Nothobranchius furzeri: one gene and its partner. The protein of the gene in region 1 purifies or fractionates together with the protein of each later gene. This does not show direct contact. Links are inferred from orthologs where the notes say so. Each region holds a gene or a part of one and is shown in the gene's direction. Other genes may lie near its edges.

Region 1 (3,825 bases):
TGAAACAAAATCTGTAAATTTGAGTGAACAGACACAAACAGCAGACTTGGTGCTCCCGTGCAGGAAGTTTTGTTCGGCTGATGTCGGGGTCATGTGCTCTTCATCCCTAGTAGCAGATGGCAGCACAAGGCCCGTTTGCATCTATAAAACTCAGATCCACAACACCTACAGCTCCAATTACAGGCTGGCCGAAGCACGCACAAGGTTGCAGCGGTTAGCATTAGCAAGTTAGCGTCCTGACTTTTCTGCCCAGCTAAAGGTGGAGCCAGCAGGTGATGGAGGAACAGAATGTTGTTCTCAGAGCTGCAGGCCTTAAGGGATGGAGAACAAAGACTCGCGTTCAGGATTACTTTCCTAAAAGGGAGCTGATTTATATCTTCTTATTTTGGGGACAGCAGCAGATCAGGAGGTAGAGCAAGTTGTCCAGTAATCGGAAGGTTGCAGGTTCGATCCCGGCCCCGACAAGAGAACGCTGCTGTTGTGACACTTAACCCACCTTGCCTGCTGGTGGCGCCAGTGTTCAGCAGCCTCGCCTCTGTCAGAGCGCCCCAGGGCAGCTGTGGCTACATCGTAGCTCATCCTCACCAGCGTGTGAATGACTGATTGTGTGGTGAAGCGCCTTGGGGGGGTTGTCGAACCCTAAGAAGGTGCTGTACAAATACAGACCATTTATTTTAACTTCATTCAGATGAAGAAAAATCTGGTTCTTGAAGCTTGACGGTTACTTCTGCACATCTAAGAAAAGAACAAAGCCTTTTCCTCGTTAGCTTTTGAGTTTGAATGCTAACGCTAGCTCTCCTCTTCAATGGTTTCATTCGCTCCTTAAAATCGTGAACTTTTACAGGAACTAGTTCATTTATGTAAGAAGATGCTGAGTGAACGATTGACGGCTCGCCCGCCTCCACGAGTCCACACGACCCAAACTTTCTCCGAGTGACCACCGTGTAGCGTTAGCTTTGGCTCAAGTAGCTTAGTAAGTAAAGTTTATTTATTTTGCTAAGAAGGAAAATCACATCCAAGTTAAAACATGAAAAAAGGGTAATTAAAAGCAAAAACGTCCATAAAACAAATAAAAATAAACAAAAGCGATTTCAAATAAAAGGATCTTCAGCTGCTTTTTAAAGGTGTCCAGGCTGTCGATGCGACGTAAACATGAAGTTCCTTCTAACAGTAAACCAAACCTGTCCTCCATGTTCAGGCTGAGCAGCTGATGGAGGAGTGGAACGAGGACTTGGATGGGATGGAGGGATTTGTGCTGGAGGGAAAGAAGTTCACCCGCCTGCCCGAGGAGGAGTTTGGACACTTCTTCACTCAGGACTGTTACGTTTTCCTCTGCAGGTACTCGGGTGTAACAGTGCCGGTGTCGGTACAAGATCTGCTCGGGTGCAAGATCGGCTCGGGGTCCTTCGACTGCCGATGACGTCAAAGTAGTTGATTGGCTGAACATGAACCTTACGGACGTTACGTAATCACGTTACGTTGGTCCAGGCAAAATTTTCTGTTGGAAAGATGGACAACTTTTACAAAGAAATCCATCATTAACTTTTTGAAAATACACTTTTAGCATAGAGCTGCATGTATATTAGGGCTGAACGATTAACTGCATGTGCAATTAAATTGCGATGTGACAAAAGGAGATTTTCTAATCGCAAAGGCTGCAATTTGGTAGCGAGTGGTTAGCGCAATGCTAATATCCATGGAAAAACCCATAGGAATGCTAATGCTAATATCACCGATTACATTCTTACAAATTATGAATTAGAAACGTGCCAAATGATTACAACTGGAGTCTAATAGAAAGTAAAACTACCATCAATCAAATAAGTACAGACAGGTATTTTAGTAAAGCCAGAAAACTTTTAACTCCAGAGTTTTGGCTAGCAGCTATGAGCGTAACTGAACTGCTCATGGACACGACGTCAAAAACTAAACACAAAATACTTCAATAAACGGGACACACTTCTTTCCTGCAAATACAATTTCACAGGTGTTGCTATAATACCTATGATCCTTCAAGGGATGTGCTCAAAGAGGAGTTCAACATTATGAATAAAATAGTGTTTTATTTTACAAATACCATTATAAACACAAACTTACGTCGTAAGAAACATTATTTTAATAACGAAACTGCTAAATTCTTTCCAAGAGTATAGATGTGTAGTGTATTTTGTTCGAGTGGCTTTGCCGTACTTTGACGTCATCGGCAGTCGAAGGACCCCGAGCCGATCTTGCACCGACACCGGCTGACTTTCCTCCCATTCCCAGACAACACAGTGTCTTGTGATTGGATCGTTTCAGATACTGGGTTCCTGTGGAGTACGAGGAAGATGAGGAGAAGGAGAAGAAGCAGGGCGGTGAGGGAGGAGGAAAAGGAGATGAGGAAGAGGAGGACAAACAGCCTGAGGAGGACTTCCAGTGTGTGGTGTACTTCTGGCAGGGCAGACAGGCCTCCAACATGGGCTGGCTCACCTTCACCTTCTCCCTGCAGAAGAAGTTTGAGAGTCTTTTCCCTGGAAAACTGAAGGCAGGAAGAAACTTTTACTTTTTTTTTTTTCCTGGAATTCCCCCGGTTTCGCTACATTTACTAGGATATTTCAGGGTGCCGGTGCTTGGTGTTTGTTCTGAGGTGACCTCCTGTTGTTTAGGTGGTGCGGATGACCCAGCAGCAGGAGAACCTCAAGTTCTTGTCTCATTTCAAGAGGAGGTTCATCATCCACAAGGGGAAGAGGAAACAGAACACGGACTCGGCCCAGCCCTCCCTCTACCACATCCGTACCAACGGCAGCGCCCTCTGCACCAGGTAGGCCGACCCGCACCAGCTCGGGGTTTTACCTCATCTCTGAATCCTCTCACACGTGACTCTGCCTCTGCTGTTCAGGACCATCCAGATTGGGACGGACTCCGGTAATCTCAACTCTGAGTTCTGCTTCATCCTCAAGGTTTGGAGGCTTAAAACCCAGATTACAGATGAGCCAGGCTTGCTCATTCCGACTCACACACTCGTCTCTTCAGGTACCTTTTGAGAGCACAGACAACCAGGGCATCGTGTACACGTGGGTGGGCCGGGCCGCGGATCCGGATGAGGCCAAACTGGCCGAGGACATCATGAACGCCATGTTTGACGACACGTACAGCAAGCAGGTCAGACGTCACGGCTTTAGAGCTAACACTCGACATGTTCCACTTTCTTTTTGAGATCATTGGTCTCATCTCCAGGTTGGGAGTAATGCGGTACAAAAGTAATTAATTACTGTAATGCATTGCTTTTTGCTGTAATGTGGTAATGTAAGGCATTACAGGGAAAGAAAACGGTCATATTTACTCGGTACAACTGTCAGTAACGCGGTAATTACAAGACGCATTAAATTGCGGGAAGCCCGAAAAAGATCCAGTATCTGCATATATTACGTCATTTGTGGATTTAGCCTTGCGGGCAGAGAGGACGCCGCGGTAACGGCTCAAACACTCCAGCTGCGTCCTGCACGCGGCCGCTGTAACATTCACGAAATCGCTCCACTAAAACAGAAGAATCCACTTGTGATCGTTCATATCAGCCCATGTTCTCTGGTACTTTCTGTACTTTTCTGACGTGCTTTGCCTCAGCTGAGTTCATAATCTGTGCCCTCGCCCGGTGATTTCAACTCATTGCTGCTGGAGCGCCGCACATGTGAAGATCCCTTTGGCTGATTAGTTAGAAAGCAGGAAGTCTGGGACAGTTTTTCTTGAAGACTGAGAAAAGATGCAGCATGCAGGAAGGTTAGAGAGAGAAAGGGCAGGAAATTTTTCTAATAAAATCAAGAAGACAAAACCAAATACTTGAAAAGG
Region 2 (3,825 bases), about 59 Mb from region 1:
ATTTTTTTATTTGGAAACTACACACTGTCACTTTAAATAAATATATAGCTTCTTCTTAAAGAGCAAGTCACCCCCAAATAAATTATTTTTCCTGATAAACTATATAAATGCTTGTCTAATCGTGTTGTAGACACGTGTAGTCAATAGTTTTGCACTTTAGTGCATTTTAGTAAAAATTTAAATTTTCTGCCTGAAACTGTCAGTGTTGTGCCGTTGTCAGGTAAAACTCTGCACTGCATTTGAATTTAAATCTGCCACCGCTATTGGCTAAGAGGTATGCTATGATGTAAACTGGTACATTATGATGTCACAATGTCATGAGTGTGTGTATTTGTTAGTGGCTCCACCCTCTCGGTCTGCTAGGCAACAGCATTTGTTGCATTTTTCAAACATGAAGTGGGAGTGAAGTACGCTTCTTGTAAGGGGTGACTGGCTCTTTAAAGAGCAACTGACCCCCTACCAGAGTATTACTCCACTCCTACTTCCTGTTTGAAAAATGCAACAAATGCTGTTGCCTAGCAAACCGAGAGGTCGGGTTGGGCATCATTTGATTTTGAACGATTCCGATTCCTCGTTTCGATTCCGGTTCCTATCGATTCCCGATTCCAATTCTCCCGATTCTCAGAAGCCTCTGGGATGAGAGGCTAAATGTCTCCAACATATCCTGAAACGTCCAGCTGTTTTCAGCTAAAACTCTCAGGATGGTCATGTCCAGGATGACTGAGAACTACACCTCCATGCTGCAGCAGCATTCAGTCACAACAGGAAGTGAAACTTAGATGTAGCTGGCTGCGTCTGACTGCTGACGCTCCATGTGCGTTTTTATTTCTGAGACAAACTCACCTCACACAGTCTAGAGTTTGTTCATTAAATCCACCGTGTTGACGTATTTAACAAGTTTCCTCTGCAGGAGTTAAAGTTTACATTACGGAGTAAAAGTTCGGCAGACGTGTTTGTTTATATCTGGGTGGGGGGAGGGGAGACTCGGTGCTGCACACACACAGACAGCTGGTGGGATCAGCTCTGAAAAGCATTGATCACATTTTGCAGATCACGTTTATTTTTCACGGAGATCGGCCGCGGATTCCTCTTCCGGTCGGCATTCTAGGAATCGAAATAAAAAACTTTGAAGGATTCTGGGAAAAATGAACAGTTGGAACCGGTTCCAATCGATGCTCAACCCTACCGAGAGGGCGGAGCCGCTAACAAATACACACACACAGGCTCACAATGACATTGTGACATCATATGGTACCAGCTAACATTCTAGGGTACGTCTTAGCCAATAGGGATGGCAGATTTAAATTCAAATGCAGTGCAGTTTTTACCTGACAACGGCACAACACTGTTAGTTTTAGGCAGAAAATTAAAATTTTAACTAAAATGCACTGAAATGCAAAACTAGTGACTACATGTGTCTGCAGCACGATTAGACACGCATTTATATAGTTTATCAGAAAAAAAGTTGATCTGGGGGCAACTTGCTCTTTAAATAGTTTCATATTCAGCCTTTAAGTCATTTTCTCTATAAGTAACGTAAAAAGCTTCTTCCCAGCTTTAAGCTGTTTCTACTCTGACCTTTAGTTGGTTTCTTTTTTTGTGGATAGAAGCTGAAACGTTTAGGAAACACCAGTAGTTTTGTTCCTCTTTTCCCAGACTGAGTAATCTACCTTTTTTCTTCTCTTCAGAAACACGGGTTAGTCATCATCCCAGACGGCACTCCTAACGGAGACGTCAGCCATGAGCCGCTTTCCCCAGGGATCACTCTGGTCTCCCAGGAGGCCGCCCAGGTGCTAGAGTCTGCAGGAGAGGGTCCTCTAGGTGAGTGGGACCGTGCAGCTTCTCTCTGAGAATCTTCTTTTACACCTTTTTTTAGTGATGAGCAATTCAATTCAATTCAATAATAATTTATTTCATTCAAAGTTTAAATATACAAACTTCAAATCAGAATATAAGCATTCGAGTGAAATAGGGAAGGAAGAAGAAAAAATCTTACATGACCTACCCCCTTTAACTAAGACAAGAAAATAACAAAAAGTACAAAATAGCCTTGTACACAAAAAATAAACCGCCCTCTTACTTCCACAAATAATATCACTACTAAAACATTAATCCTCCATCGTCAACTCACGAAATCATACCATTTTAGCATTTTATCTTTATACATTTTTTTGAATTGATCAGTAGTTGTACATTTTTTTTTATTCATCATCCAGGTTATTCCATAATTTCACACCATATATTGGAATACACATTTGCTTTAATGTAGTACGAACAAATATCCTTTTAAACTCTGGTTTCTTTCTACTCTTTATCATTTTTTGGGATCAAAACAAAGAACCTTTGTAGATTAGTTGGCAGTAAATTATTTCTAGCCTTAAACATAATTTCCAAAATTTTCAAGTTAGCGAAGTCTTTGAATTTCATAATTTTAGATAGAATAAAATATTTGTTAGTATGTTCTCTCGGATTTGCTTTATGTAGAATTCGCAGAACTTTCTTCTGTAACAGAAACAAAGGATTAGTGTTTGTTTTATACGTATTGCCCCAAACCTCAGTACAATAAGTTAACTATGGTAAGATAAATGAATAATATAATGTCTGAAGCGTTGAAATTTCTAGAAAACCTTTGACTTTGTTTAAAATTCCAATACTTTTGGATATTTTTTGTTTTATATATTTTATATGGGATTTCCAAGTAAGTTTATGGTCCAAGAGAACCCCTAAGAATCTGACTTCATTTACTCTATCAATTAAAAAACCATCAAAAGCCAACGTAACTAAATCGTTAGTTTTTCTGTTACCAAAAACCATGAATTTTGTTTTATTCCAATTGAGAAATAATTTATTGTCATTAAACCACTTCTTAAGTTTAGACATTTCACAAACCATATTTTGAATAATAATTTCTAAATCATTTCCAGAACAAAATATTTTCGTGTCATCAGCAAACAATATGAATTGTAATACTTTGGACACATCACAAATGTCATTTATATATAGAATAAAAAGCTTAGGGCCCAACACTGACCCCTGTGGGACACCGTGTGTATTCTCTAGTGTATCTGAAATTTCATCATCTAACTGTACAAACTACTTAACCAGTCATGGGCGATTCCACGTATCCCATAATCCCTCAGCTTGGAGAGTAAAATACTATGATCTCAAGAGTCAAGAGTCATTTATTGTCATATTCTCCACATGTGCAGGACATACAGAGAAATGAAATTCAGTTTCAGCACACACAATTCAAAGATCAGACATACGTGGGTAAGACACATAACAAGAATTGGTGACTGCGGTCATTCGCAACATGAGTCGCGCTACCTTAATAGTTAGATGAAAAGGGTGTTACATGAGGAAAGTTCAGGGAGGGGAAAAAAAGGCATTAACAGGGTTACACCAGCAGGGTGTAGCACTCCAATGCAAAAAAACACCCGACATGGAAGCACAGACAGCACGTGTACACAGGGACGAAATTTTGATTTCAGAAGTGGGGGGGACACAGCAGGCTTGTGCGGATTTGGGGTGGGGGGTGTTATGTAAAGACCCCTTGACACGTCACGTGCCCATCTCAATAATTTTTCCATCCTCAATATATATATATATATATATATATCAGAGTTAAAAAATGTACAACTCTATTATTATTTTTATTCATTATCATTATTGAAGTGCAGTTTTGGCTGTTGACAATGGATAGGTCATTGTATTTATTGTTTTGGGTCTTTTTTATTGTTTTTGGTGCAACATTTTCTAACAGGGAGTGAGATTCCTTTTTTATTTAATTTTTGTTTGTTATTTTTATTCATTTAGAAGTTCTGG

Evidence for each region.
Region 2: the proteins of flii (region 1) and lrrfip2 purify together in Homo sapiens (affinity purification with mass spectrometry; 3 studies listed by BioGRID and IntAct, with this or other methods). This does not show direct contact. The link is inferred for Nothobranchius furzeri from reciprocal best matches to the Homo sapiens genes FLII and LRRFIP2.

What each region holds. Positions count from the first base shown.
Region 1 is NC_091752.1:64,011,116-64,014,940, reverse strand, and holds part of flii (protein flightless-1 homolog), read left to right. Parts: intron 1-1,198; coding exon 1,199-1,338; intron 1,339-2,298; coding exon 2,299-2,524; intron 2,525-2,645; coding exon 2,646-2,800; intron 2,801-2,878; coding exon 2,879-2,939; intron 2,940-3,012; coding exon 3,013-3,141; intron 3,142-3,825. UniProt on the Homo sapiens protein: Is a regulator of actin polymerization, required for proper myofibril organization and regulation of the length of sarcomeric thin filaments. It also plays a role in the assembly of cardiomyocyte cell adhesion complexes.
Region 2 is NC_091752.1:5,420,087-5,423,911, forward strand, and holds part of lrrfip2 (leucine-rich repeat flightless-interacting protein 2), read left to right. Parts: intron 1-1,688; coding exon 1,689-1,821; intron 1,822-3,825. UniProt on the Homo sapiens protein: May function as activator of the canonical Wnt signaling pathway, in association with DVL3, upstream of CTNNB1/beta-catenin.